4 linked regions of the Tamandua tetradactyla genome follow. The protein of the gene in region 1 purifies or fractionates together with the protein of each later gene. This does not show direct contact. Links are inferred from orthologs where the notes say so. Each region holds a gene or a part of one and is shown in the gene's direction. Other genes may lie near its edges.

Region 1 (7,545 bases):
GTCTGATGGGCATGATCTCAGTATACTGCATAGAAAACCAACAAAAGTGTTGCAGGGTCTTTATAAATGGAACCACTGCCAGTCTGGACTAAAAGGGACAGAAAAGGGACAAACTGAAGGAAAAATAACTTCAGAGGCAGAACCATGGAAGCTAAGATCTGAAGCCAAAGGGTGGGCCTTTTACCTTGATGTTCCGGAAGAGTTGTGCCCAGGCCTTGGAGAGGGTGGAGCACATTCCTTGGTGATTGGGGAGAGCCTGGCTGCTACCCCATTGTTCTGGAGGGGTTGACTGTGTGCCCTGGAGATGGCAGAGAGCCGAATGTTGCCTCAATGCTTGGAGAGGGGGGATCCAAGAAAATAGTGATCTCCCCAATGTCCTCCAGGGTTGCAAACTCCGTGCCAGCATTTGGAGAGAGCAGGGCTACTACGTAGGCCCTTGGAAAGCATCAGATTGCTGCTTTCTAAAGCCCCTAGGATAAATGACTCCCAGACTTTGAAATCTAATGTAGTTTGCCCTGCAGTTTTTTGGAACTGTTTGGGTGTGGTGACCCCCGTGTTCCTTCTAATTTCTCCCTATGGAAATGGAAACACATATCCTATGACTGAACTTCCTTTGTATGTTGGTAGCAGCTAACTTGTTCTGAGCTTTACAGGTCCACAGCCAGAGGAGAATTCTGCCTTAGGACAGACCAGGACTGTAGCTGATTTTGTACTGTTTCTGACTGTACTGTATTTGTAGTTTTAGTGAAATGGTTTTAGGCTTTGTGATATTGTGATGGAATGACTGTATTCTGCATTCGGAATGAACATATTTTTGGGGGGTCCAAATGGTGGAATGTGCTTATTTGAAACAGTCATGAACTCTAGGAAAACCATGCTCTTTAATCCTTATCCAATATTGCTGGGTGATCTTTTTTATTGTTTCCATGGAGATGTGAACCACCCAACTGTGGGTGGTAACTTTTGATTAGATGGTTTCCACAAAGATGTGTCTCCACCCATTTAATATGGGGTTGCTTACTGGAGCCCTTTAAGGGGGAACCATTTTGGAAAAAGCTCAGTGCCAACAGAGCCCACACAGCCAGAGACCTTTGGAAATGCAGAAGAAAAACGCCCCCTGAGAAGCCTTATGAAATGAGGAGAGAAAGCCAGCAGATGTCGCCATGTGCCCTCCCAGCTGAGAGAGAAACCCTGAACTTCATCAGCCCTTTCTTTGGAGTTAAGCTATCTTTCTTTGGATGCCTTAATTGGACATTTTCATGGCCTTAGAACTGTAAACTTGCAACTCAGCAAATTCCCTTTTTAAAAGCTGTTCTGTTTCTGGTATATTACATTCTGGCAGCTTACAAACTAAAACAGGGTAGATAAGGGGTAAAAAAATGTGTAGATTAAAATACTAGTGGTCAATGAGAGGGAGAGGTAAGGGGTTTGGGATGTATGGAGTTTTCCTTTTATTTCTTTTTCTGGGGTGATACAAATTTTCTAAAAATGATCATGGTACTGAATACACAACTATGTGATGATATTGTGAACCACTGATTGTACACTTTGGATGCACTGTGTGATAAGTGAAGATACCTCAATAAAAATATTTTTTTAAAAAAGATTGTATTTATAATGCAACTAGTCCATAGTAGGCATTCAAGAGATATTTGTTCTTAATCCCAACCTCCATCACGAAGAAGAGGGACTGAAGGGGAACAAATTGGACCCACTCCCAAAGTTAATGTGCCAATCTATTCTTCACCTCATCACAATTAAATGATTTTCAAATACCTTTCTCAGTATCCATACCCTCCCCCTCCCCATTTCTCTACCAACCACTAGTCCAAGTCCACATATAGCTTTCACATCACCTGAGCTTTCCCCTTGCCTTTGTTTCTCAAGACAAAGTGTGGGGGGAGTGGAAAGAATACGGGGTTTAGACCTAGAAGACCTGGTTCCAATCCTGCCTGGTTCAGACTAAGTTAGTGATCATGAGCAAATCATTTAACCTCTGTACCTCAGTTTCCATATTGTAAAATGTGATTAATAGATGGTGATAATGCCTAGTGGGATCTTTAGATAAATACACTTGAAAATTATAAAGCACTCTATAAAAATTGGTTAATTTTAATATTTTAAGCATTCCTGAGATTGACATTGGATTAGAAGCAAATGATATCAAGAGTAATTTTGCAGGATTCTGAAGCATCCTGGCTTCTTTCCCGTTCACAACCTGACTAACCAGTCACTTTCCCTTTAATGCCCTCCATCACTCAGTTATTCAACAAACACTTATTGAGGGTTATTGGGTGCCAGATACTGTTGTAGGTGCTGAGAACAGAAGAATGAAGATAATAGATTAGATTTCCAGCTCTCATAGAACTTCCCTCCTTTGCGCTTTTGATGATAAACACACATCATCTGAAATATTCACTGAGTGGATATTTCTGGTCATTTGACTGACTGTATTGAGTGGGGCAGGGAAGAGGGGCAGAGGAGAGGAGAAAATTGTAGGAAAATGAAGTTAAAGGACTCTAATTCTGTTACAGACCAGAAATGGGCTTGTGTGCATCAAAATTAGGTGTCCATAACAACATGTATATAGAATCCCAGCTAAAAATGCAAAACCTGAATTTTCTCATGATTACATGAGAAAACATCAGACAAATCCAAAATGAGAAGCATTCTCTATTTTTAAAATGTAATAAAATGTTACACAAAAGGACAAACAACAAAATAATAGATAAATGGGACCTCATCAAAATTAAAAAAAAACAACAACTTTGTGCATCAAAGGACTTAACCATGAAAGTAAAAAGATAACCTACACAATGGGAAAAAATGTTTGAAGATTACATATCTGATAAGGGTTTAATATCCACAATATATAAAGAAATCCTACAACTCAGCAACAAAAAGGCAAACAGTACAATTAAAAATGGGCAAAATATATGAATAAACATTTATCCAAAGATAAACAAATGATCAATAAACACATGAAAAGATATTCAATATCATTAGCCACTAGAGAAATGGAAATCAAAACGTCAAGGAGATACCATCTCACAACCACTACACCGGCTACAATTAAAAAAAAAAAAACTCGAAAAATAACAAGTGTTGGAGAGGATGTAGAGAAATAGGAATTACTGGTGGAATGTAAAATGCTGTAGCCTCTGTTGAAAAGTTTGATGGTTCCTCAAAAAGTTATGAACAGAAATACCATATGACCTGGCAATTCCACTTCTAGGTATATTCCCCAAAGAACTGAAAGCAGTGTTAATAACAGGCAGCAGTGTATACGTGTGTGTGTGTTGGGGGTAGGGGTAGGGTAATATGAGAACTGTATATTTTCTGCATGATTTTTCTGTAAACATACGATTTCTCTATTAAAAATTAATTTTTTAAAGTAATAAAGACAACAGACGGCTGAGGAAATTTTCCAGATTAAAAGAGACTAAAGAGAAGTGAGAGCTAAAAGCAGCATCTTTTCTTAGACTGCATCCTGAATTGCCAGGGAAGGAGGGGAAATGCTATTTTGTTAAGTGACAAAATGTAAATGGCAGATTAAAGTATTATATCAGTGTTAAATTTACCCAGGTTATGTAAAAGGATACCTTTATTCTTAGAAAATCCACACTTTATACTCTAGGGATAAATGACCGTGAGGTATGCAGCTTACTCCCAAGTGGTTTAGGAAAAGAAAATTAGATAACAAATGATAAAAAGCACGTGGAGCAAAATGTTAACAAAAGGTTAATCTAAATAAAGATTACACGTTTTTTTCTGTTATTCTTGCAACTTTTCCAAATAAAACGTACTTTAAAAATCCTGTCCTGGACTCTACACTGAATCCCTTTGCTAACTAGGTACATGACCTTGAATGAATCCCGTCTTCATTCCGCGCCTTAGTTTTCTAGTTCAGATGTTTTGTTGTTGTTTTAATTTTTTGTTTTGCCTTTGAGGTTTTCTTTATATATTCGGAGTTTTTAAACATTGTTACAAGCCCCAGTAATCCTGGTAGGCCCCAGATATTCGACTATCGAATAAACAGACCTGTACTTCTTCCCATTTCCCACACTCCGTCAGTGAGCCCCAAATTCCCTTTTAGTGGCCCCCAAACAACTCCTGCTCCCATATTCTGATCATTAGGCAGGAATTGCTAGTGGGTTCATACTTCTGTTGTGCTGAGTAGATGGTTTGTTTCTAAGACTGCCTCTGTCTCTGGTAACCAATCTCCCACAATTCTGAGAAAGTTTCCAGATTGGGCCTGGGGAAGAACACGGTACCTCAGCTTCCCGCAAGGTCTCTTTGCCACCAGTTAATTCGCCACAACTTTCTTCACGATGCCCACTCTTTTTCTTTCATTAGCCATAAATCTGCCCCTACCCTGCCGCGCCACTAGCCGCAGGCGCAGCCACTTATCCCTATCTTTGGTCCTGAAGCTCCTCTCCATTCCCCAGGTTCCAGCATCGGTTCAGTACAGGCACGTGCATCATCCCCCAGAAACTACAGAGCCCAAAAGGCTTTGCGGCAACTTCCCCGCAATTACCGCCAAAGAAAAACGGCTATTCTGCGCGCGCCTGCGGCTGCATGGCCTGAAGGGAATTATAGTCCACCTCGGAAGAGGGGAGGAAGTCTGGTAAGGCTGCGAACCACCCTTCCCAGAATACATAGCGTTCTTCTCCTCCAATCGGGGGCACAGATCTTGGAAGGGGGCGGAGAAGGGGTGGCCGCTGGGCGCACGCGCAATGTGTGTGGCTGGGGAATTCATGTGGAGGTCAGAGTGTAAGTAGGTGAGGACTGTGCGCTGTGGCTCAGGCCTCTGTCTCGGCGTCTTGTTAATCCTTCTGTCTTTCCATACGTACCGGGAGAGCGGGGTGCGTATGCGGGTCGGCCTCGTGAGGGAGGGAAAAAAAGGTGGGCCCGGGATGAGCTAAGGGTTGCGTTAAGGGAGGTGTGTATGGGGGCAGGGTGAGGAATAATCCAGAGACTATTAGAAATGGAAAGACCGAGGGGTAAGGACTGGGTATCGTGGCCCCGGGGGAGGAAGATTTAAATGCTCGAGGAGAGATAAAGGTAGTTTAAAGGATTTGGGGTCTGAGAGAGAGGGAGGAAGAATTTGAGACAGTGGTGAACGTCGACGTTGGGTCAGGGTATTAAAAGTTAAAATGCTGGAGTCATTTCTGGTTGGATGACCTGTGCTCCCACCCACTTCGCGTCAGTCCTGCCCTCCCTCCTCAACTAGAGCTGTTTCTGGCTGTGCAGTTTATAGTCTTTATGCCCAAATTGTTTTTTCCATTCTCTTGGACCCAGAATGTCATCAACTTCCTGCTTCCATAATAAAATGGCATTATTAATGCTTGATGTTGAGAAGCAATATGGGGAAGGTTGAAGCTGAACCCCATTGAATCCTGTTACACCACTTAATAGTTGTATGATTTGGGGCTCTTGTAACTGCTCTGTATACCTCAGTTTCCTCATCTATAATCGTTGAATTGTTGTGAGGATTAATTAATGAGGATTAATTAAATTGCCCTCAGAACACTCCTTGATATAAATATTATCTGTTGGGATCGCCATGAAGCATATTCTTTTAATTGTTTTTCCAAACCAGAATTGCACAGAACCAACTATACAGACTTCCTCTTGGGGCTTACTTGTCCTCGGAATGGGAGGACTTTTTAGTGTGGAGCTAAAAGTTCTTGGTGGTATCAAGCCCATTCTTCGACCTTTTTAACTTCATGTTCCCATTATTGAACAGAATGCTCCAGAGCCTTTTCCTTTAAGTGATAGCACTGAAAAAGGGAAAAGCAGAGAAATTGCTGAGACACTTTTCCAGGCTGTTGAGTTGTGTCCCTCTGCAGGTGAGTTAGAACTCTTATGAGTGGGGGAATAAGTAGCCAGCTTGAGAAGTGAATGCTGTGCCTCATAGATGATTGACTGTCTCTGCGGATTTGGGGGTCAAGTTGTTTTGTTTTGTTTTTACCCCCCTTAGGAGTGAGTGAGCTAAAAGACAAGGTCCAGCAGAAGGAGACATGGCTGCCAAAGTATTTGAGTCCATCGGCAAGTTTGGCCTGGCCTTAGCTGTTGCAGGAGGCGTGGTGAACTCTGCCTTGTATAATGGTGAGACAGTAGGGGATGGTGGGTCATTGCCCTGCATAGACCTTGTGACTTTCCTGATTATAGCTGATGTTTCTGAATGCTTGTGGCCAAGAGGGCTGACCTCCTCTGTCCCATACCATGCTTTGTTACCAGAGTCTTGGGTTCTTTGGGCCATAGGTTCTTCTCAGAGCCTTAATTTAAAAAGAGCCTCCCACCCTGTTGCTGGTTGCTGCTTTTGCTGATTTCAAGTGATGCTGCACTCCCCAGTATATGTTAGCCGAGTACCAGGATTTCACTGGCTAGCTGAAATGGAGAGCTCATTTGTTCTCTTCTTTTACCTGCATGTGAAATAACTTAACAAGTACTTCTGACCCATTTGATGAGCTTGTCCTGAGCAGGAGCTTTCACTCTGCTGCAGTTGAGTAGCACCAGAAAAAATACCTTTGAGATGCATTGCCCAACTTTTAACAGTATAGTAGGGGTTTAAGCAGTTTTTCTTCTGCTTTGCTGTGCGACCTTAGGCAAATCACTTTCCCTTTAGGACTCAGCTTCCTCACTAATCAAGCAATGGAGATGAAGTAGTTTATCTCTTCAGACCTACTCCAACTCTGACATTCTGTTGTAGATCAACCCACCTCGTGTGTAGTGATATGATGAGGCAGATTGCTTTCAGAGCTGAGATATTTAGACCATCCATAAAGTCCAAAGAACAGAGGAAGAAAGCAGCTGATCAGAAAAGCTTGCTTGCTTTATATGATGTATCTTAACACTATGATCCTTTTGGCAACAACCTATACAACTAGACAGTTACTACTATCATTGAATGTATCTCTGAATCAACAAGACAGCTGTATAGCCCCTAAAAATCCTTAGAGAAGCCAAGGTATTAGGAAGAAAGGATGGGGCCTTCTAAATTTGAGGATTCCCATGGTGAGAGTGCTGCTTATGGGAGCACTAACTTACACTGGAGGCATGGTAGAGCATGATGACAGTGAAGACTTTGGTGAGTTTTTCAAAGAACTTTGGGAGGTGATTCCTGGAAATGTGTTATTGGGGACTTGCAGAGGAGATGGTTAATCAGATTTCTTTCAAGGAGAAAGGACTCTGAGGAGCAGATCCTATTACCAAAGTCCTAGGGGAGATACATGGGACAGGAAGTGATTGCTTAGTGTTGTAGCTATTTAGAAGCCTTTAGAGACCAGAAGTGCAGGAAGATAGAGCAGGAGAGAGAAGACTTAATAAATGCACAGAAAGCACGAGGAATCTCTCAAAGACATACTCTTCTTGGCTAAAGGGTTAGGGAGTTTTTCTGACCTGTTATCCTTCCTTCCTAGTGGATGCTGGACACAGAGCTGTTATCTTTGACCGGTTCCGTGGAGTCCAAGACATTGTAGTAGGGGAAGGGACTCACTTTCTCATCCCTTGGGTACAGAAACCAATTATCTTTGACTGCCG
Region 2 (7,370 bases), on another chromosome or scaffold:
AAAGACTGGAGAGGTCTTAGGAAGAGGTGAATGTTGTTTGCATGTAGGAGGAATGCAAATAATGTGACTAGGGGCTGGTCTGTGGTGATTTAAAATATATCTACAAATTCTTTGACACTCCTTTCAAAAGGTGGAGCCTAATTCCCCTACCCTTGAATGCAGTCTGGTCTTAGTAATTAACTCCTGTTCTAGTTTGCAAGCTGCCAGAATGTGATGTACCAGAACTGGAATGGCTTTGAAAAGGGGAATTTATTAAGTTGCAAGTTTACAGTTCTAAGCCATGAAAATGTCCAAACTAAGGCATCCAGCAAAGAGAACTTAATTCAGGGAAGGCTGATGGGTCAGGAACTCCTCTGTCAGCTGGGTAGTCATGTTGCTGGCATCTGCTGGTCCCTTGCTCCTGGGTTCTGTTACTTTCAGCCTCTGTTCCTGTAGGGATTCCTCACTTTGCTTCCCCAGGGCTGGCCTTCATCTCTTGACTTCCCTTGGATCTCCAGGATCTGGCTTGCTTAACATCTCATGGCAATGCCTACTGGCTCCAAGCATCTCCAAACATCTGTATCTCTGTTCACATTCTGGCATTTGTGCCATTCTGGGCTCTGAAGCTTCTGTCAGCTCTGCTCTCTATCAGCTCTGTCATTTCTAAGGTTTTTGTAGTTTCCAAAATGTTTCCACTTTTAAAGGATTCCAGTAAACTAGTCAAAACCCACTTGGAATGGGTGGAGTCACATCTCCACCTAATCAAAAGATCACACCCACAATTGGGGGCATCACATCTCTGTGGAGATAATCTAATCAAAACTTTCCAACCTGCAGTATTGAATCAGGATTAAAAGAAACGGCTGCACCCACAAGATTGGATCAAGATTAAAACATGGCTTTTCTGAGGCACATAAAACTTTCAAACCAGCACAACTTCTAACAAAGAGCTTAAGGTATAAGTGACAGTGTGTGATTTCCGACGCTGGGTCAAGTAAGTCCTTATGGCTTCAGTCTCTCTTTCTTGGATCACCTTACAACATTTGTTATAAGAAATGATGTATCTGTGATTTAAAGCCTCTTATCGAATTTGATGGAAGTGGTGAATTTCAGCCAAAGTGGCAAAAGAAATAGTGTTACCTGGGGGAAGCCAGCTGCCATGTCATGAAAACATTGCAAGTAGCCCTTTGGAGAGGCTCACATAGAAAGGAACTGAGGTCTTCTGCCAAAAGTCACATGAGGGAGCCATCAGGAAAGCGGATCTTCGAGCCCCAATAAACCCTTCAGATGACTCCAGCCCCAGCGGATATCTTAACTGCAACCTCATAAGAGACCCTGAGTCAGAACCACCAGCTAAGCCATTTCCTAATTTCTGTCCCACAGAAGCTTTCATATAATAAATGCTCGTTATTTAAGCCATTAAGTTTTGAGTAATTTACTACACAGTAACAGAAAACTAATATTCTCTCTTTACCTCATTTGACCTCTTCTCTGCATGTTACTCTGTTGAGCGCTCCCTCCTCCACCCAATGACTCCTCCTCTGGCTTCCATGAAAGTACTCCCTCCTGCGGTGTCTTTTAGTCTCTCAATTTCTTCTTTAGCTCTATGTTATTTGCCCCTGAAACACCGTAACTCCTCTTAGGCTTCTACTTTCTGTATTCCTATCTGATTTCTCACTGACCTTAATCACTCCCATGGTTAGTCATAATTAAAACTAAAATTTTCATGTCAATGTCTCCTACCTAGACATTTCTCCTAACCTTCATAACTGTCTATTAGATAACTCCACATAGATGGGACTCCTGGCTCCTCATATTCAACTAATCTGAAATTGAATCATCCTGTTTCCCCTCAAACCTGCCCCTCTTCCTGGAGGCCTTCTCAGAGTGAATGGGATTTTGTGTTCCAAGTTTTTCAAGTCAGATGAGTCTAGGTTGCTTCCAGCCAATCTGGACTTCTCCTCACTCGCCTGCTCAGGACCCTCAGAATTAGGCTCCAGTCAACTTCTTTGGCCTAACTGCTCAATTTTTTCCACAGGTTGTTCCAACTCTACTTAAATCATTTGTGGCTCCCAAATGATTCCTGCCATTCCAAGTCGCCCATGCTTCTTTCTAGATTTTTGCCTTCCCATCCCCCAACCTGTCGGCGCTTTAGTTTTGATAAATCCTACTTTTAGAGTTTAGTGCAAGTTTCTTCTCAGTCTGACTGTGCTCATAGCTCTCTGTACTTATATCTTATTACTGTACTTACAACTCCTGAGCTTGTCTTTCTCATTCCACACCCTTTGTTGGGTGACAATTTTCCATGGCACTCTACATGTCAGCTTTTGTGCCAGCCTACCTTTTCAAGGATATTTGCATAGCAAACAGCCTTGGAAGATAGAGTTAGTACTGTGATGTGGACAGAGGTTAGATTCTGTCTCCTCTGATGTATAATGTCTTCCTCTGGAACACAGGTTGAGCAGGTTTGTTAGTAGCAGACAGGATTTCCTAAGCTCAGAGTTCCTCAGTTATGACACAAATTCATGGTGTGCACAGCATCTATCTGGGCCACTCTCTGTCACTCATGTGAGATATAGGGGACAAGAGAACTGATGTAAATGTTAAGCTTATGCTGCCTTCTGTGCCATAATAAAATCCCTTGTCTTTGATTCAGGAGTCTCCTATTTTCTGCAAGTGTCTATGAAGCCATGGCAGGCGAACTTGTTGGCTTGTAAGAAAGGTAAAATCTCGAATCCTTCACAAGTTTTGACACCCCTATACATACCTGACCCTACCTAAGAGCTTTGAAAGCAGGATTTGTGTCTCATTCGACTTTGCTTTCCCGTGGGTAACACAAGTAATTGTTCCATAAGTGGTAGCTGTTACTAATGCCACTTTGGTCTACAGAGCTTTGGACTGAAAGCATTCAGATATATTTACCAAATCCAATTTTGGAATACATTGCCATGATTCTCTGTTTAACCAGAGATCTTCCTTTCCAGGCTATTAGGTATTGTGTGCATGCCTTGGGTTTGCAGAGAACGGAGCTTCAGACCTGTGTTCTGTAGTAAAGTAAAGTTCCCTGAGGACTACAATTGTTACAAACCCTACTGCAGGTAATGGAGGTGACTAATTTAGCAGACACAGTTTTTCTAGGAAGTGGTGTGTTGGGGTGCAGTTGGGAGCTATTGGGATGGGGATGCCATTCTCTGCCATTTCCCTCACAAAAGCATCAAACATGGAGCAAACCAGCTCCCAGGGGAGCCAGGCTCATTGCAGGTTGACCTGTCTGAGCTTGAATGAAGGAATGAAAGGAATGATTCAGCGCTTCTGGTACCTGATCTCTTATGGGCAGACTCTTTTCTTCTACCCTTTACAAAATGAATAAGCCAAGCCATGCCTAAACAAGACTGATGGCTCGGCTTGCTCATGGGAGGGACAAGCTTTCCCTTAATCAGGGTTTTCATTGTGAAAGTCCATCTAGCCTATCCTTTCCCTCATTTAGGAGAATGGAACTTTGGCAGCGTTTGAGCAGAGGTGGCTTTAAGAACCAGAAGAAATGAGGGGGAGGAAAGACTGCTCATAGTCTATAACTGACTGACTATTAAATGTCTTTTTCTTTTTTAAACTTGTCATTTTATAGATGAGAAAACTAAGGTACAGAGGGGCTAATTACTGAGATAAGCGATTGATTCCGGAGCCCCACCTGACCCCACTTCCGTCTCATTAGATTGCTCTTTTTTTTTGTTATTGTTGTTCCCTTGGTTCCCCCACTCTACCCGCACACCCGGAGAACTCAAGTACAGCATCAAGTTCCTACTGTGCCCGATCAGCATGAATCCTGAAGTTTCTCCAAACCCGTCTCATTCAGATGAAGGTGGGACCTGCACAGGCTTGTCTCCCCAAGAGTTACGGTTCTCGTGTGTGAAGCAGTCCCAACCCTGAGTGGGGCGCAAATGCCGCATTTGCTCAGGGTAGACGGGGTTCTCAGGGCTCCAGGCGCTCTCTACATAGAGTCTTTCTGGGGGATATGGACACTTGCTGAGAGAAGTACGTGACCTTCGGGGATGCACAGCCGCACCCAACCACTCTGGGCTCCCGGACACCCTCCTGTCGCCCCGCCCCCCGTGACCAGCGCGTGCCGAACTTCCGCCTCATCCCCGTCCGCGCGGTCCTCGTCGCGTCGTCTTCGCTGTTCCCCGCCCCCTCGACTTTAGGGCTGCCCTCATCGCTGCCTGACCCGAAGTCCAGCAGCTTCTGCCTTCCCGGCTCCCGCCAATGGACAGAGACAGCCCAACCTGAGTCTTCGATTGTCCTCGGTCCATATGGCTGCTCCGGAGCAAGTTGGAGAGGGTGGCGGACGGAGCTGCAGGGATAGGCGCGGCGGGCGAGCCGCGGGGAGCGGCGGGGTCCTGACGAGGGAAGGACGGGGTTACGGCGGGCGGAACGGTGTCTCCTTCACTTCGCCCTCCAGCTGCGGCAGCTGCAGCGGTATCTTGAAGCAGCTTAGCGGCTTCAGCTACGAGCGGATCTGCTGCGGCGACCCCGGTCAGGAGTCAACCAGGTATCGCCGTGCCCGCCTCAGACCGACCCGGGGGGCCTAGGCCGAGACGACTAAGCGGGAGGCCCGAGTCAGACTCGGGGTCGGCCCTGACTCCCTAAGATGGCCGCGCTGCCCCGCGGCCCCTAGCCCATCTCTGTCTGAGACCCGATTCTGGCCCCTTCACCTGCCTCCGACCTTCGTTGACCGCACTTCTTGTCCCTCCTGCAGATCACCCCTTCCCTTGGCCTCGTTATGGCGACCTACGGGCAGAGCTGCGTGAGGCGTGAGTAGAGCAATGATCTCTGCGGAATGGGGCGGAGGGTCCGGGGAGTTAGAGCCTGCCGACCATAAAACTGCAACTTCTTTCCCCACATCTTTCCAAAAACTCGGAAACTCGTTCCCTTCCGGTAGCCGCTCTACCATGTGCCCACCCGGGCTCTGCGGAGGAGGGATCGGACTGCTGGATTCTCGGGTGGAGAGACTGGGCCCGGAGAGTTGGTCTCTGGCCACACTCACTTTCAGTTATTGGACGTGCCTTTGACGAACAAAAAAGCAAAAAGTTACCAATTGTTGGATTCTCCCTTTGAGAGATTGGATCAGTCACTTTTTAGAGGAAGTAGTACTCTCCCTTGTGCGAGCGCAAGGTCAATGTGCTTCTGAGGGCGTGGACATGCTTTGTTGAATGAATGAGCTGGTGTAAGGAGCTCAGATTGTCCATAAACCTCGCTGCAGTGGCCCAGGACTTGATTGTCATATTAGTATGTTAAAAATGCCATTTTATATTTAGTTCCTGTAGACGCGTAAAACATAGATAGCTGTACTTTGTCTAAGTTCCAATATTTAAGTTCCCAGTGCATTAAGTTCTCTTTCCTACTCAGAACGTTTGTTTTGATCTCAGGATGCTGAGATATGTATCAGGGGAGGGAGTCTAGCCTTAGGTTTTGATTTTATCTCATTTGGTAAAATCAGCCCATTCAGTGATTTTTATTAGATTCTTAGCTGTGCTTGATTCCAGTCTGGTCCAAAGAAGTGAGGCTATAAGTTCTGTGTAAATTTCGGAATAGAAAATGTGTTAGTCGATTTTGGAAGGAAGTTAGCAAATTTGTATAGTCTTTTTGATGTGGTTATCCATTGTAGAAATAGGCTTTTTTGGTGATACCTGTTTGAGGGATAACTGGAGTAAAGGTTTATTGTAGCTCATAGTGCATCAGAATCACAATTCAAATGAGCAGGGACATTAACAGTGGAATGTTTTCTTCCCACCAGCGATGTGTATTCCTCCATCATATGCTGACCTTGGCAAAGCTGCCAGAGATATTTTCAACAAAGGATTTGGTAAGTTTGCTCCCCCCCCCCCCCCCCCCCGTTTTTGATAAAAAGTGAAAGTGTATGTTTGGGTACTTAATCTCAATCTTCTTCAAATTATAAATATTTTGTTGCATTAATTCTTTCAGACACGTTTTAGGTAACAATTTACATACCCCTTTACCCCAATTCCCCGCAATATTTTCAAACTACTTGAAGGATTTTAACCTTTAAGAAAAAACAGCTTGTACTTTTGGTTCCTTCAGTTGTAGACACTTCAGCCTTGTTTGACTAGTTATAATGTATTATTGTTTTGCTTTTATGGTGGTGATCAAACGATATGGTTTTTTCAAGTGAATTTGGATTTTTCTTGACTATTTTTTTTCACCTCTTCAGATTACAATTAGAGATAGCTCTTTAGATAAACAGTTTGAAAGCTTTTTTTTTTTTCAGCATGGAGGTGTTCTGTCCTTTACAAGTTCAGTTTATGTAGAACTAATTTTCATTTAAATATTGTATCAACATGCATTTTTTTTCCTCTGGATATGTGGAATCTTTTTTTTTTTTTTCAACATATAGACACCTATTGGCTTGCATCTCAATCTTATCTTTTGCTCTCTACTTGTTGAAGGTTTTGGCCTGGTGAAACTGGATGTGAAAACAAAGTCATGCAGTGGCGTGGTGAGTGTTAGCTATCCGATAAGTTCTGATGAGCCTTTGTCTACTTTTTCAACCCATAAATAGTCATTGCTGAAAGGTGTTTATGTATGTTATCTTTTTTTTTTGCATGGGCAGGCACTGGGAATCGAACTGGGGTCTCCGGCATGGCAGGCGAGAACTCTGCCTGCTAAGCCACCGTGGCCCACCCTATGTATATGTTATCTTGACGAAGAGACAGAAGTAGGCAGTTTTATCTCAAGAGGGCTGTATGTAGCCTGATTTATTTTGGCTTTGGCAATGATTTCTGATATTCATGTTGTTTTTTAGCCAGACTGTTTATTTTGTATGCAAAACTCAGGAAGGACACCGGTGATGGGACTCTTTGTTTAGTCAGTAAGATTGCAAATTTGAAGGCAGGAAACCTATATGCTTTCTGTAATCCTTTTTCTCAATGCCTGTCAGAAATATGGCCATGAAAATGTTTAGTAACTTCTTATTAATTTGAGGGTCCTGATCGTTTATATAATGGCCATATTTTAGTAGCCCTGCATGGAGAAGATTTCCATGTGTTTTTTGTGAGACTCGTGAGTCCTGAATGCAATGTTTTAAGAGAGGTTAATGTTTTGATATTTGGGTGTTTTGAGCCTTCCCTAACTTCTACAAAGAGGATGAAGTAAAATTTCATTTTGTTTTAATTTTTTCTTACTCTAAAAATTTTTTTGAGATTGTTTTGGGCGTGGATGGTATATTGAATATTACTGGTTACTTCTACAAATTTTTGCTGCTGTTAACACCTTTAGTGTATGTAACCGGTATTTACTAAATTAGTCATGTTGTAGTTTCATAATGCCTAGACTTGTTGGGTTTCTGGGTTTTTTTAATTGGTCACAGTTATCATTTG
Region 3 (8,002 bases), on another chromosome or scaffold:
CACTCCTTTAGCTGGGGGGTCAGTGGGGAGGGGTAGGGGGCAGGAGAATTGAGGGGGTGGAGAGTTGGCATGGGGTGTGGGGGATGGTTTGTAAACCCCCTTGGGACAGAGAAAAGAGCCAAAGTCAAGGGGCTGTAAGGAGAGCCTCTCTGCTGGGGATTGTGCCAGTAGGGGACACCATGATCAGGCAGGGACAGGGCATGGGGTGGGAATGGTCACTCTCAACCTAGAGAGTGACCTTCAGGGGATCAGCTGAAGGGCTGGGGCTGGGGTGGAGCAGGGAGTGACCAGGGTCTTCCTGACACGCCCCCCCGACCCCACCCCAGCCATCCCTGGCTCCTCCGCTAGACAGATCCCCAAGCAAGGAGACTAGTGAAGGGAGAGAAAGGCAGGCAGGAGAGAGAGGAGCAGAATGGTCAGAAGTAGCAGTGGGTGGAGAGAGGGTAAATAGCGGTCAGTAGGACAGACATGGCAGGAGGACACTATAGGGCATAGACTTCAGGGCTGCTTACCTTGGCTCTTCGGGGGCTGGTGCTGGGGTTGGGGCGCCTGTGTGGAGCCTTGACGTTGCACATGGGGCCTTGGCCGCTGGCGGGGCTCTTCCTACGTAGGATGTGAGCCCCAGGCCCCTCAGCAGAGTTAGGAGTGCCCCGCTCTAGGGGCTGGAGGTGCAGTTCGGCCCCCCTATACTGCAGAACCCCTAATAGGGCTCCCCCATCCCAGTGCAGAGATGCCACCGACTCCGGGTCTCCGTTGATGGTGCCGGTCAGGTAGGTACCCGGCTCAGCCCCGCCCAGTAGCTCCGGCGCCTGGCCCAAGTACTGCACCGTCAGCCCCTCGACCTGCACGCCGGGGTCCTGCTCCAGCTCTAGTAGCAGCGTCTCCCCAAAGGCTGACAGGCGGTACAACAGCCTGGTAGGGGTTCCCAAGCCAGGCAGGACACTGCTGTTGAGCTTCTCTGGAAACACGATCTCTTCTTCCCGGGGGAGGGGGCTGGCCGGCTGGACTAAGGGCAGGAGGGGAGCCAGCAGCAGCAGAAGCAGCCACACCAGCCCGGAGAGGGGCACAGTGGGGAGCAGCAGGCGGAGTTGGACTCCCCACAGCCAGCACTCCGCCAAGCCCCTCCCGGGACATGGGCCAGTCCGGGACAGGGCACTGGAGCTACAGCTGGGAGAGAGTGAGGCTGGCTGGGGCATGAAGCCCTCCATGCCCTGGCCTGAGGAAGCTCCTCTCTGCAGCTTGGGGACTCGGACTTGTGCCAGGCAAAAGGCAGAGTTTTCAAAGGGGCTGGGGACCTTCAGAGGAGATGGAGAAAACTTGGCCCCTAAGCTTAGGGGAGATCCCAGTGGTCTGGCTCCTCCAAATTCTCCTCCCGCGCCTGCCTCTCCTGGATCTTTGGCTCTGCCTGCCAGTATCTTCTGCAGCTTCTCTGGCCTTTCCTACTGTATGACTTTGTCTGGCTTCCCCTCTGTTCTTGCCCTCTCTGTCTCTGCCTCCTTCCGTTGTGCCTTTGTCTCTTTCTCTCCTCCTCTGTCTCTCCCGTGTCTATGGGTCTCCTCGTGGGTTCTCCCAGCCTCTCTCCGCGCCAGCTCCTTTAAGCATCCCCAACCTCCGCGATTGGCTGAGCTATAAGCCACTCAGCCGGGAGCTCTGTCGGTGGGACTCAGATGTGTGTCTCATTGCTTCCCAAAATCCTAGATTGTGTTTTCCTTGGGAAAAAAAAAAAAGGGACTTGCCCAGGGGAGGGGAATCTCTAGCAGCCGGATAAATCAGAGGCACCCGGCCAGCTGATGACATAGCCTTTTCCCAAAACCCCACATCAGCTCTCAGATGTCTCTTTCCCTTTTTGGTGGACTAGAGCCCCAAGAGGGATAGGAAATCAGGGAAAGGGCCTGGCCAACATGCACAGAAAGGGCCACAGTCCTGGGAGAATTTCTGCTCTCACTGTCTAACCTGGCATGATCTCCCCTTTCTCAGGGCTCCTTCATGCTACCCCCTGCTTCTAGAAGCTGGTTCCCTGGACTGAGGAGACTAGTGAGCTGCTGGAGAAAGAGGGTGTGGACCAAGTTAAAAATCATTAAGAGGGCAGAACAAGAAAAGAAAATTGAGGTGCCTTGAGGATGGGACCCAGCAGCTAGAGAGAGTACAGGCCGCTGGGAGATGGGGTAGGCCAGGAGGCCATGACCAGGGCCCAGAGTTAGAATGAGTCTTCGAATGGGCACTTGGAGGGGGCAGAGGACAAGGCAGAAGGGGTTAACGACTTTTTCTTTTAGAGGAGGACCAGGGTGGCACCTCCTCTGCTCCAACACCCCTTCTCTCCCTCAGGCTCCCTCTTCCTGAGTTACCACTACCGCCCAGTCCGGAACAGCCATTCCGCCTCCGTTCCCCCCAGGGCTCCCCCTCCCCACTTCCTGATTCCCCTTTCCCTGGCCCAGCTCCCAGTCGCTTCCCCAGGCTCTTGGCCCTGCTCCTACCTACTCCCAACTGCCCTAAACCCTTTCCCAGCCTCAAGTCAGCCAGCCCTGGGCCCCCAGCCTGAGAAAGTCTTATTCTCAGGAGCCCAGACGTACTCAGTGTCAATAGAAGGGAATCCCCTATCTAGCTCCCTCCGCTGGCCCCACCTTACCCTGTGAACCCAATTCTTCCTGGAATATCTAGTAATCTTTTATTTCTTATTTGCTGTTCACCCTGGGACAGGGAGAGAGGGTGGAAGCAGCACTGTATCTACAAGGAAATTAAGGTATTCGGAGAAAGAGAACGTGGTGCTTGGGGGTGGGGCAACTGGAAGAAGAGGTGTGTTAGGAAAAGGAAGCAAAATGATTCCCTTGGTTCTGGACTGGAGGGAAGTCAGAAAAGAGACCTTGGGGATGTACTTTCAAGGCAAGGCACTAAGGGGTTCAGAAATAGGGGCAATTTCTGCTCACCCCACCCCATGGCCACTTGTTTCCCCAGGAAATCCCGAGGAAAGACAGTGCAATCAGCAGTCCTTTCCCTTTCCCAGGCAGACCACCTCTCCTCCTACCCCTGCCACTTCCCTACTCACTCTCTGCCTTGTCACCTCCTGTCCCCCACATCATTTCCGCCAGAATATTTCCTCTCCCCCTCCCTTCCAACTCAGGTTACTAATACCTGCTGGTGACTATTAGTTCCTGTACCACCCTCCCTCTTGTGACTGCCAGACCCAACTCTTGCCCTACTATATGCATGTTCCTAATCCTGAGTTGAGGGGTCTGGGACTATAAGAGTCAGACAAGGGTTGGGCGAACAGAAGGGGCAGGGGCAAGAGGAGCTATCCCCAGAGCTCTTGCTGCCCCTCTCCACCCCCCATCTGAGATAAAGACAAAGGAGGTGACTAAACAGTCAGAGACAAAGAGCCTCAGAGTCACAGAAGCAATGTGTATGTGTGGGGGGGTTGCCAGCCGGGAGAAGGCACAAAAGATGCAGTGTCCCAAGCCGCCCCCCAGAAGCCCTCACCCGAGTCCCAGCTCAAGCTGCCTCCAGGGCCAAGCAGCTCAGACTTCTCCCAAGCTGGATTAGGGCAAATAAATGCAGTCCCTGTAGCGTCCGCCACCATCTGTGACCCATTAACTGTGTCCCAACTATAGAGAAAGAGAAGGCCCAGGGGAAGGGTGAAGAATGAGGAGGGCAGCGGGGCTAAATCTCTGCCCTGGTTCTGAGGGGGCTGTCCTGTCCACCCCAGGTCCTGGCCAGTTCCCACAGCCACAGCCCTGCCCCCCACCTTTTGGTACCATTCCCATTAGGTCAATTCCCAGGCAAGAAGTTTGGCTTTCCCTTCTTTCTCTGCCACACCCCTGGTCTGTCTGTCTCATCCTTCTGTACTGCTGGTGGGCTGTGTCCCAGGAACTGTCTGGAGGAAATCTGGGAAAGGCCTCTTTTCGCTAGGGGGGGTGGGGGGGGGGATGTAAAAACTCGACGGGTGGCCCAGCAGGAGCTGGGCTTGGAAGGAGAGGGAGAGAACAGTGACTGGTCTCCAAGGTTTTGAAAACTCCATCCCTTCCTTACAGCATTAGAATCAGACTGTCCAGGACTGAGGCAGAGTCAGAGAGACCTGAGGGAAAAGACACTGACCCAGGATGTTAAGTGGGGTGTGAGACATCTCTAAAGGAACTTCCTGGGTCTGTAATTCTGTAAGTTTAGGGAGCCTGGCAATTATCAGGGGGAATTTCCCTGCCGGGGCTGGGGTGGAGTGTCTTCTTCACACTCCGGCCTGTTCTGCCAACGTTGGTTGCCTTGGCATCCTGCTACTCTTTTTACAGTGCCTTTTTTTTTGGGGGGGGGGGGGGTGCGGGGAGGCGGGGCGGGCAGGCTCCAGGAATCGCACCCGGGATTCCGGCATGGCAGGCGGGAATTCTGCCACTGACTCACTGTCGTACCTCCCGGCATCCTACTCTTTTTAAGTTTGGTTTAGGGGGAGTTCTCAGGCCCGCCTAGCCCCTCGGGCCCCTATTCCTTAACCCGATTCAGGTAGGGCATGTGGAAATTAGAGGGGTGCGCTGCTGGCTTTCTCGGTTCCTCCGAATCTTTTGGATTCAGGGATGGGGCGATAACCGAGAAAGCCAGAAGAGCAGGGAGGGCTCAAACACAGCTGCGAGCAGGACTAGGCAGGAAGACAACCAAGGGAGAAGGGGGCAGGGAAGGAGCCCGCTGCGCCAGTGTGTGCTGGGCACCCTGCGGAAGGGCACTTTCTAAGGTACACGCAGGCGGGCTCGGCGAGAAGAGCGTGAAAGAGTGAGTTGTTGTCCCTGGAAGGAAAGGAAGTTTCTCTGGCTCACGCCTAGAAAAGCCAAGCCTGGGGCAATGGGAAGAACCGTCCTCAGCGAAGATCACCGCAGTCCCCGTCCTTTAAACGAAAGTGAAGCCGAGGCTCAGAACCCGGATATTATCGTGTTCGCGGTCCGCAACCCTGCCAGCTTCCAAAAGGGCGGCTCCGTTTTGCTAATAGGCGAGAAGCCCCCAAGGAGGCGCGCGCGAGTCACTTCCGCCCGCTTCTCCTTCCTGCAGTGTGCAGCGGGCAAGATGGCGGGGCTGAGGGTTCTGTGCAGCCTCCGGGGCGTCACGGCCCTGGTGCTGCGGACGGGGTCTGGGGTCAGACTGCCGATTCAGCCCTGCAGGTGAGATCGAGGGAAGCTCTCGAGCGCTTTCCCTAAGGCTAGGATTTCTCGAAAGCTGTGGAAAACAGTTTGGCGGGACATTCCATGGGCCCTGTGACCCCTAGGAAGGAATGGGCCAGGCCTGTCACCCCTCCTCTAGGCCTGTTGTCATGGGTTCGGGATGCAGTGGTGCCCACTTTGGCCGCGGGAGGGAGGAGGGTCTTGACTCGTTCTCCAGGTGTAAAATCAGCGGGCTAGGAGATCCTGCCCTTCAACGTTAGTGTTAGTGTATGCTCCGCTGCCTTTTCCGACCCCGGCTAGGGTATGAGTGGTGAAGAATCTCCTTAGAGACAGGGTCACTGTAGGAGAAGAGGAAAGCACCCCTGATGGAGATAAAGGAGTAATGCAAACTAGCACCCCGGGTAGACCCCAGTGCACCTGCCCGGTTATACCTGAGTAACCCAGTGCTCAGCCAGCTCAGTCTGGGAGACAGAATGCTTACACATGCTCTCTCACCCTCTTACACTCCCTACTTCTTAGCTTAGTCTTATTTGGGACTTTGAATAAATATCCATCATTCATATTCTCCAGGATGGGGATATGAATATAAAGGAGCTAGGATTCCCAGCCTTGCATGCTCAAGGGCGATGGGTGAAGTGTAACTTGTTACTGGAAGTGGAATGCCTAGGTTTCCAGCCTGTTCTGCCAAAGCTATACTAACTCTGCGTCAGAGCCTTCAGGCACTGAAGGATTGAGGGCAACTTTTCCTGGTCCTATCTGAGAGTGAGTGGAAATTGGTTCTTCTCCTACAGAAGAGCCAAACACTGTTCAGGTTATTTGTTTAGGATTTGTCTTTAACTTCTTAGAGGTGCTCGGCAGTGGCAGCCAGATGTGGAATGGGCAGAGCAGTTTGGGGGAGCTGTCATGTACCCCACCAAGGAAACAGCCCACTGGAAGCCTCCACCTTGGAACGGTGAGTGCCCAGAATTATGGTTCCAACCCACACCCATCCTTACCTGAAGCTGATTTCCAAGGCTCTTGTCATTTTAGATGGTTGCTCTTTGTTTTAGGCAAGTGTTAGCCTCCATTCTTTACTTCTTTCACCACCCAATTCAGCAAAAATAATAATAGGTATAATGATAGATATTTATGAGGCAGAAAAGGAAAGGAAGGACATCCCAGGAAGAAAATTAAAAGTAGGTCCCAGTTAACACCTGAAGGTCCCTAACAAATTTAAATCTTCAGCTTCAACTTTTTCCAAAGGTTCAGTGCCACATTTCCTACTCCCTCTCTGGACAAGATAGTTTTCCCACGGGTGCCCAAATAAAACCTGCCTGAATACAAAACATTTTTCCTACAAAAGTAGTTCTTTCTTTTTGTTTTATTATTTTAATCAGTAACAGCATTCTCCTAATCCCTCAGGAGTGAAACCTTTTAGTCATCTTTGGTTCTTTTCTCTCTCACTGTCCTTGTCCAATAAGTCACCACATGTTTCACATCTCATCATTTCTCCCTTTCTATTCTTGTTGTCATCATTCCTGTGAAGACTTATCTTGTATTTAACCTTGATTATTTTAGGAGTCTCTTTAATGGGTTCTTGCCACTTATCTGTCCCATCTTAAACTCTCCTATAGAATGTTATTGCCTTCATCTTCCACAAATATCATTTTACAGTGCCATTCTTTCTCTTGCTCAAAAACCTTCAAAAGCACTTCCAGTTATCTTTCAAGAACTTAACAGTAGGGTGCATGGGTGGTTCAGTTGTAGAATGCTTGCCTTCCATGCAGAAGACCTGGGTTTGATTCCTGGACCATACACCCCCCAGAAAAAAAACTTAACAGTAGACCATCAAAATTTAGAACTTTTGTGTACCAGAGGACATTGGCAAGAAAGTGAAAAGATAACCTGCAGAACAGGAGAAAGCAGTTGTGAATATTATATCTGATAGGGATTAATATCCAGAATATATAAAGAACTACAATTCAGCATCAAAAAGATAAGCAATTCAGTTAAAAAAAATAGCCAAGGACTTCAGTAGACATTTTTCCAGAGAAGATCTACAAATGGCCCATAGGACTTAAAAAGATTCTCAATATCATTAGCTGTTAGGAAAATGCTTCTCAAAACTTCAATGCAAGATTAATTTATGCCCATTACGATAACTATTTTTTAAAAAAGAATTGGTGAGATTGTGGAGAATTTGTTTCGTGCATTGCTGGTGGGAATGTAAATTGGTACAGCTGCTGTGGAAAACAGTTTAGTAGTTCCTCAAAAAATTAAACATAAAATTACCAAGTTAACTGGGCAATTTCATTTCTGGGTATATACCCCCAAAAATTGAAAAAAGGGATTTGAATGGATACTTGTACACCAATGCTTACAGCAGCATTATTCACATAATTCACATCATCCCACCAAAAATGAAAACAACACAAACATCCATCAGCAGATGAATGAATAAACAAAATGTGGTATATGCATACGCTGTATACAGTGTACCTTGAAAACATGTCAAGTGAAGTAAGCCAGGCATAAGAGGGCAAATATTGTATGATTTCACTTATGTGAAATATCTGTAATGAGCGAATTCATAGTGACAGAAAGTGGGTTCGAATTTACCAGGTGTTGGGGGAGAAGAGGAAGGGGAAATTACTGCTTAATGGGTACAGTTTCTGTGTGGAGTGATGGAAAAGATTGGGGGGGTGACGGTAGCATAGCATTGTAAAAGTAATGCCCTGAATTATACACTTAAAAATGGCACATTTTATGTTGTATATATGCTATCACAATAATTAAAAGAAAAAAATAGCAGTAACAATAGCTGATGCTTACCATGTGCTCGGCATTTTTTATGCACTATTTCGTTTAATCCTTAGAGCAATCCTACAAAA
Region 4 (7,270 bases), on another chromosome or scaffold:
ATTTCCCATTGAAATTTTTACAATTTTTAATTTTGACTTTGTTCTTGCAATCCCTCTCCGTCTTGATCTGTCTTTCTTTTTTGGTGTTTGGCCAGGAAATCATACTTATTTTTTCTCTGATCCTTTTGAAGTCTGCAATCCCCATGCCTGTTCCAACCCCTGCAAAAAAAGCTTAGCTAACCTGTCTGCCACGCCCAGCGTTCTTCTGCTTAACAAATCCAGATGGCATGGTCATGTTCCCCAAGATTCTCGTCACTTTCACTTTGCTAACCAGATTTTCCTATTTATTGTCGGGATTAAGTCTGACCTAGCAGTTTCCCTCACTGTTTCTTCAGTCTTATGAGAGTTATAATTATCAGCAAGAGAGTGAAGAATTTATCTGATGTGTTGCTATTAGAATAATGAAGCTACAAACAGATATTTAGATAGTTTATGTCTCTGATCATCATTCTCACCTATGTGACAGCTTTATGAGGTACTGTTCATATCTTTTATCTGGGAAATTCTTATATACTTTCACGACTACAGTCATTTTCATTTCTCCCTTTCATCCTCACTGAATGCTTTCCACCCTGTGGCCAATGAATTACTATGCATACTTTCTGGACATATTACCACTGTTCCTCTCCTTCCATACCTCTCTCCGAGCCAAGTTTCCCTTCCTTTCCCAGCTGCCAATCACAAGTCCCAACCTATCAAATCTGAATGATACCTATAAAACTGTGTTGTCTTCCTTCTATTAACAGCTTACATTCACATTATTACCCAAATTCTGGGTATTGGTACCTAGATACATGTGCTGGTTTGAAACTGTTATGTACCCCAGAAAAGCCATGTACTTCTAATCCCAACAGGGGCAGGCCTGTTGTGGGTGGACCTTTTGATTAAACTGTTTCCAAGATGTGACCCACCCAACTCAAGGTGGGTCTTAATCCATTTACTAGAGTCCTCAATGAAGAAAATAAAAGACAGAAAACAGAGAGTTCAGAGCCGATACAGAAAGCAGAGAGATGACAGATGTTTGGAGACAGAAAATGCCCCAGGAGATGCTAAGAGACGAAATTCAGAGTTTGCCCCAGAGAAGCTAAGAGAGGACCCACAGAGGCTTGGAGAAGGAAGATGCCCCAAGAGAAGCCAGAAGGACCCACAGGACCTGAGAGACCCATTTTTGAAACCAACTCGGGAGAGAAGGACCAGCAGACATCATCATGTACCTTCCCATGTAACAGAGAAACCCCGGATGCCACTGGCCTTTCTTGAGTAAAGGTATGTTCTTATTTATGCCTTAATTTGGACATTTTCATGGCCTTTGAACTGTATACTTGTAACCTAATAATTCCCTTTGTAAAAGCCAGCCAATTTCATAGGCAGTACAACACTGGCTGAGTGGCAGAGTTCTCGCCTGCTCTTGCCTGCCATACCAGAGACCCAGCTTGATTCCCAGAGCCTGCTCAGACAAAAGAAAAAAAAAAGTAAATCAAAATCCAGTCAATTTCAGGTATATTGCATTCCAGCAGCATTAGCAAACTGAAGCAATACCAGAGGCCTTAAGTATAATTCTGACCCTTTATTTTCTCTTGAGAATTACTAAGCACAGCCTTAGCTTTAGTTAATCTTTATTATATTTGTATTCTATATAGCTTCCAGAAACATAATAGTTACTAACATAACACATCATAATACTATACCTCACTGGAGGAATTTGTTTTTAATGGGTTGACAAGGCATTATCATCGTGAATAGTGTTCTCTATTTTCCTGGGCTTTTGGTCCTGGTGTCCTTTATTTCATTTTATTTTAACTTTCAGTCTTATAAGAAAGTTGCAAAAAGCAGTACAAAGAATTTCCATATATCCTTCACTCAGTTACTCTATATGTTACCATCTTACACAAACACAGTAACTAAAAATAGTATTGGTATACTCTGAACTAATCTATAGATCTTACTCAGATTTCACTAATTGTACCGCTAATGTACTTCTTCTGGTCCTGGATCCAATCCAGGGTCACAGATTGCAGTAAATTGACATATCTCCTCGGTCTCTTTAATCAGCAACAGTTTCTCCATCTTTCTTTGTCTTTTTTGACCTTGACCCTTTTGAGAACGTCTGACTACTTAACATGAACATGATCATAGGCAACTAGTTTTTTGGCAAAAAACAAACAACAACAACAAAAAACAAGCATGGCATGAAGTTGCTTTCAAATGACCTATCTTATCATCTTCAATAAAACTATATTCAATATTACACCAAAGACTAAAAAGGGGGGAAATTCTATGTGACTAGTTGATCACCTTTTGGGGGAGAGAAAGAAACCTGACAGAACCACAAATATGAAAGCACTTGATTTTGGATGCTATTTTGAAATGGGTTGTGAAACCCACCTCCTTCCAAATAAAATGCTCCCTGGAGTGTTGCTTTAACTGCTGCTTTTCTCACCAATGAAGGTGAGGAATGACTGTAACTTCCAGAGTATATTCTCTATCATTCTCCGAAACCATAACATGAAGTCTTTTTTGTATCCACCTGCACCACTGTTACAATTGGCTAATAAGAAACAGAGTAGGGCCACGGTGCCTCAGCAGGCAGGGTACTCGCCTGCTATGCTAGAGGACCCGGGGTTTGATTCCTGGTGCCTGCCCATGTTAAAAAAAAAAAAAGAAAGAAACAGAGTAGCGTCTCCCTCCGCGCAGTCAAATATTTCCCTCAAGATCAACACAGCTGGATTCAGAGTTGCTCTTTGAATGCTTAGATTTATGCTCATCACTTTGAAATGTCCGAAATTCTTGGAAAGAGTAAGAAATTGCAAAGTATACTTTCAGAGGAAGGGCTTGGTGATCCTGGAGGACCTATACAAGTGTTAAATTTCTCTGGGTCCTTTATGGATCAGATCTGGAGAAGGTGGGAGAGAATGAAGAAAAGGAATGTGAGGGATATGCTGGCTATGCCTTCCAGCCTGCAAGGGGCTGCCTGCATTTTGCCTTAGGAATTCTGAAGTCTCAGAGCCTAGGGTTCAGCTACAGTTGCAGTTTTTCAGAAGTCATCCTTGTTTTTTGTAAACACTATTGTGATTATTTATACACAGGATCTGTGGTTACACTACTGGCTCCTGTTCTGAACCTGAGGACATGCACTCAAGCTAACAAGTTGGTTAAGGGCATGTTTGGGAAGTGCTTACCCAGCTCAAAGACTAATACAGCTCAGTAAACACTGTCTACACAATGGCTGTCAATCTTATTCTATCGATTCTTCCAAACCTTTCTGGAATCTACCATGTCCAAGAGTGCTTTACCTGGAGTCCAGGGAGCCAAAAGCTTATCTAGTTCACACAGTCTCTTAACACTTTGGGTACCTCTTTTATTTCCCCATCCTCAGTCCAGTCCTTTGGAGTTTCCTGAGTAATACTTGGCAAGATCTTTATCGAACTGTATTTGCAAACAGGAGTCTGGCGTGAGCTAACAGTGTTCTACTCTGCTGTTCCCCCAATTTCCTCTGGCTCCTCTGGTGTAGCACAGGGACAGGGGCAGGATTAGGGTGAGGAGAGCAAGACATTCTCCTTGGCGAAAAATTTAAGAGGGCGCCAAGCAACTCCGTAAGCAAGATAAATTCTTTCTAACGCACTATTTTAAAAAGTCAAAATTACCGCAAAAAATCCACGATGATCCAATTATCGAAATTGTAATTAAGGTCAGGCTCTGACTCTGCACTTGCACGCTCCTCCTCACTTGCCTTACCCTAATCCCAGTCCTGGGGCTCCAGTGCGACTTTATCTACTCACACACACACACTCACACACACACACAAACACAAAAGCGATCATCCCGCGGCCGTAGTTCTCCTATTCGAAGCGTAAAAATACTGCGTTAAAATAGTATTCATTTCGATGACTGAGTGTTGGGGGGCATTCCCCATTACACTGCCCTCGAGGCGAGTATCTCATCCGCCTTACGCTAGTCCTGGCCCAGCCCCAGGGGTATTTTTTTTCCCGGCACACAGTGACCTCAACCTTCCTCCCCACTCCGAGCCCTCCCCCCACAATCCAGCAGCCAGGTCCTGGGTATTCCCCGGGTCGCCCCTTCCTCCTGCCGGGTCAGGCGCCTCGGGCGAGTCAGCGCGGCGCGGACGCCTGCGCCCAGAGATGCAGCGGGGCGACTCCGCCCTCAGCGCGTGGAGCCACTCAGAGGCACCGCTGCCCCGCGCGCCAGGTTTCAGCGCCCGCCCCGGCCCGCCCCCGACGCCGGCCGCCTTGGCGCGGACTCCCCGTATATATATCGGCCATTTGCTCCGCTCCGCCCCAGAGCCCGGGAGTCGAAGCCGGTCCTCAGCTCCATCCGGTACCCGCCCGCCTCCTCGTTCCTCTCAACATGACAGATGCCGCCGTGTCCTTCGCCAAGGACTTCCTGGCAGGTGGAGTCGCTGCGGCCATCTCCAAGACCGCGGTAGCGCCCATTGAGCGGGTTAAGCTGCTGCTGCAGGTAAGGCCTGAGATCGGAGAGGCCGACCAGGAAGTGGGGGTCCGGCAGAGAGCGGAGGGGGGGGGGTCCCCAGGAGCGGAGAGGAGCTAACTCTTCAAACACGTACGGAAAAGTGGCAAGGTGGGGATGGGGTGGGGGGTGGGGGATGGGGTGGCCGCAGAGTATCAGACCAAAAGGCAGACTTGAGGGAGGTCCTTTAATGACCTGAAGTTCTGGGTCGGGTCTAGGAAGGGGACGGGACCCGAGGGAGGTGAGGGACACCAGGGCCGTGGCTGCCGCCCCGGGCCTTGGGGTCAAGGGCGCAGCCTTAAAGCCGGTGCTAGAAAGAGGAACGCTGGGCCTTACCGAAGACCTCAAGGTCGCGGCAAGGAGAGAGCCTGGCGGAGGCCCGGGCGGACCGGCCGAAGGGCCCCGCCGTGGACAGACGCGCTCAAACCTCGCCGCGCCGGAAGCAGGCGCCGGGAAGCGCGTGTGCTTGCTACGTCCACCCCCGCGCAGCCGTCGCGGTCGCCCGCCCGCCTGCCTGCCTGCGCCGTGCGACTCGCCGGCTCCGACACTAGGGGGCGCTCCCGGACGACCGTAGGGTGGTGGCGCCTCGGGTCACCTCTGGGAGAGGACTGAGGGCGTTGCAGCAGGGAGGGAGCTCTGGAGATCCGGGGCGTAGGCTTTGGTCATCAAGGTGACTGCGCCCTAAGGTGTACTCACCCTTGGAACCAGAGTCTGAGTGAATGACTTTTGTCCTAGGTCTAAAGGTCAACCTGTGTTTGGGGTTGCCCCCTTCCCACCCAAAGACTTAATGCCTCTTAATGGCTCAGATCACCTCTTCCACCTGTGACAGCTCAGAGGGTTAGGAGGGTCCTGTCCGTGGTGGTAGAAGACTGGGTGGGGAGGTAGGAGCTAACCTTGTAAAGGACATTAGTTAGGTTAATAGATTCTCTTTCCCTTCTACATGGTTGTAATTGCCTCCGTTGGCCTCCTTCCTCTCTTGTCAGGTGCAGCATGCCAGCAAGCAAATCACTGCAGATAAGCAGTACAAGGGCATTATAGACTGTGTGGTTCGTATTCCCAAGGAACAGGGAGTTCTGTCCTTCTGGCGTGGTAACCTGGCCAATGTCATCAGATACTTCCCCACCCAGGCACTCAACTTTGCCTTCAAAGATAAATACAAGCAGATCTTCCTGGGTGGTGTGGACAAGAGGACCCAGTTTTGGCGCTATTTTGCAGGAAACCTGGCATCGGGTGGTGCGGCTGGTGCCACATCCTTGTGTTTTGTGTACCCTCTTGATTTTGCCCGTACCCGTCTAGCAGCTGATGTGGGGAAAGCTGGAGCTGAAAGGGAATTCAGAGGCCTTGGTGACTGCCTGGTTAAGATCTACAAATCTGATGGGATTAAGGGCCTGTACCAGGGCTTTAATGTGTCGGTACAAGGCATCATCATCTACCGAGCTGCCTATTTTGGTATCTATGACACCGCAAAGGGTAAGTTTGCTGTATGCTTTGAAGCCATGTTCTTGCAAAGCCATTTAAAAGATCATTGTGCCAACCTTAATTGGCAAAGGAAGCCAGGGTCATCCAGTATAACCCTCGTACAGATGAAGGGATGTGTTTGGAGATGTGGAAAGTAACAAGTCAGTAAAACTCTGCTTTCTTGTTCTCAGGAATGCTTCCAGATCCCAAGAACACTCACATCTTCATCAGCTGGATGATCGCACAGTCTGTCACAGCCGTTGCTGGGTTGACTTCCTATCCTTTTGATACTGTTCGTCGCCGCATGATGATGCAGTCAGGGCGTAAAGGAAGTAAGTTTCATTCAAGCCGGAGATCGTCAAGAGTGTGGGCATGGGGCAAGCTGTGGCCACAAACTGAGGGTGCCTGGCTTTTAAAAAGGCAGTCTGTTCAAGTCTTGTGATGGGACTGATAGCAGCTGTGTCTGCTGCATAGCTGCCTTTGAGCCAGCCCATTAGATGGCTATGGATGAGGATGCTTAAATGGTATTAGAGGTTAAGGCCAATGAGTAGTCTGCAGATCCCTGTTCTCTAGACACACTATTAATATTTCAGTATTGTCCACACTAATGTGTAATGTTGGGTTTAAAGAAAACTGGCATTTTAGAGATGTAGGGCTCTTGTTCTAGCCTAGTAGTCTTAAGACTTTGATTGCCTTTGGTCACCAATTCCATGTCTTTATTCTTTGCAGCTGATATCATGTACACAGGCACGCTTGACTGCTGGAGGAAGATTGCTCGTGATGAAGGATCCAAAGCTTTCTTCAAGGGCGCGTGGTCCAATGTTCTCAGAGGCATGGGTGGTGCTTTCGTGCTCGTCTTGTATGATGAAATCAAGAAGTTCACCTAAGTTATTTTCTAGTGTTTCCCCTCCCGTGAACAGGCATGTTGTATTATGTAACAGATCTTGAGCATTCCCAACAGACGGTTGGCTGTCTATTTATCAATGGCAACAATTTAATGGTTGAAAATGGGAAGCAATAATATTCATCTGACCACTTTTTCTCTTAAAGCCATTTCCATGATAATGATGATGGGACTCAATTATATTTTTTATTTCAGTCATTCCTGATAAATAACAAATTTGAAGAAATAAAAATATCTGAAATACAATTTTGCTTGCTTGCAGTTCTTTTCGTTTTTGCATTTTTAATAAAGGCTATAACTATGGGTTTACAGTTACGCTGAGATGAAGAACTTTTATAATCAGTCCTCAAAAAAAAAAGTCCTCAGCCCATCCACTTGTCGAAGAATAACTTGGTTGTGTGACCTGCCAACATTTCCGATACT

The links.
Region 2: the proteins of PHB1 (region 1) and VDAC2 purify together in Homo sapiens (affinity purification with mass spectrometry; 4 studies listed by BioGRID, with this or other methods). This does not show direct contact. The link is inferred for Tamandua tetradactyla from reciprocal best matches to the Homo sapiens genes PHB1 and VDAC2.
Region 3: the proteins of PHB1 (region 1) and NDUFS2 purify together in Homo sapiens (affinity purification with mass spectrometry; 3 studies listed by BioGRID and IntAct, with this or other methods). This does not show direct contact. The link is inferred for Tamandua tetradactyla from reciprocal best matches to the Homo sapiens genes PHB1 and NDUFS2.
Region 4: the proteins of PHB1 (region 1) and SLC25A5 purify together in Homo sapiens (affinity purification with mass spectrometry; 3 studies listed by BioGRID and IntAct, with this or other methods). This does not show direct contact. The link is inferred for Tamandua tetradactyla from reciprocal best matches to the Homo sapiens genes PHB1 and SLC25A5.

What each region holds. Positions count from the first base shown.
Region 1 is NC_135332.1:30,599,459-30,607,003, reverse strand, and holds the start of PHB1 (prohibitin 1), read left to right. Parts: upstream 1-4,531; 5' UTR 4,532-4,627; intron 4,628-4,669; exon of another isoform or gene 4,670-4,865; intron 4,866-5,749; exon of another isoform or gene 5,750-5,852; intron 5,853-5,983; 5' UTR 5,984-6,023; coding exon 6,024-6,111; intron 6,112-7,424; coding exon 7,425-7,545.
Region 2 is NC_135339.1:21,372,141-21,379,510, reverse strand, and holds the start of VDAC2 (non-selective voltage-gated ion channel VDAC2), read left to right. Parts: upstream 1-4,366; 5' UTR 4,367-4,525; intron 4,526-4,732; 5' UTR 4,733-4,756; coding exon 4,757-4,787; intron 4,788-5,770; coding exon 5,771-5,839; intron 5,840-6,440; coding exon 6,441-6,490; intron 6,491-7,370. UniProt on the Homo sapiens protein: Non-selective voltage-gated ion channel that mediates the transport of anions and cations through the mitochondrion outer membrane and plasma membrane.
Region 3 is NC_135330.1:14,329,398-14,337,399, forward strand, and holds the start of NDUFS2 (NADH dehydrogenase [ubiquinone] iron-sulfur protein 2, mitochondrial), read left to right. Parts: upstream 1-4,999; 5' UTR 5,000-5,037; coding exon 5,038-5,132; intron 5,133-5,977; coding exon 5,978-6,084; intron 6,085-8,002. Other genes in the region: ADAMTS4 (A disintegrin and metalloproteinase with thrombospondin motifs 4), read right to left, coding at 513-1,208. UniProt on the Homo sapiens protein: Core subunit of the mitochondrial membrane respiratory chain NADH dehydrogenase (Complex I) which catalyzes electron transfer from NADH through the respiratory chain, using ubiquinone as an electron acceptor. Essential for the catalytic activity of complex I.
Region 4 is NC_135353.1:47,510,672-47,517,941, reverse strand, and holds SLC25A5 (ADP/ATP translocase 2), read left to right. Parts: upstream 1-4,267; 5' UTR 4,268-4,365; coding exon 4,366-4,476; intron 4,477-5,468; coding exon 5,469-5,955; intron 5,956-6,134; coding exon 6,135-6,275; intron 6,276-6,672; coding exon 6,673-6,830; 3' UTR 6,831-7,093; downstream 7,094-7,270.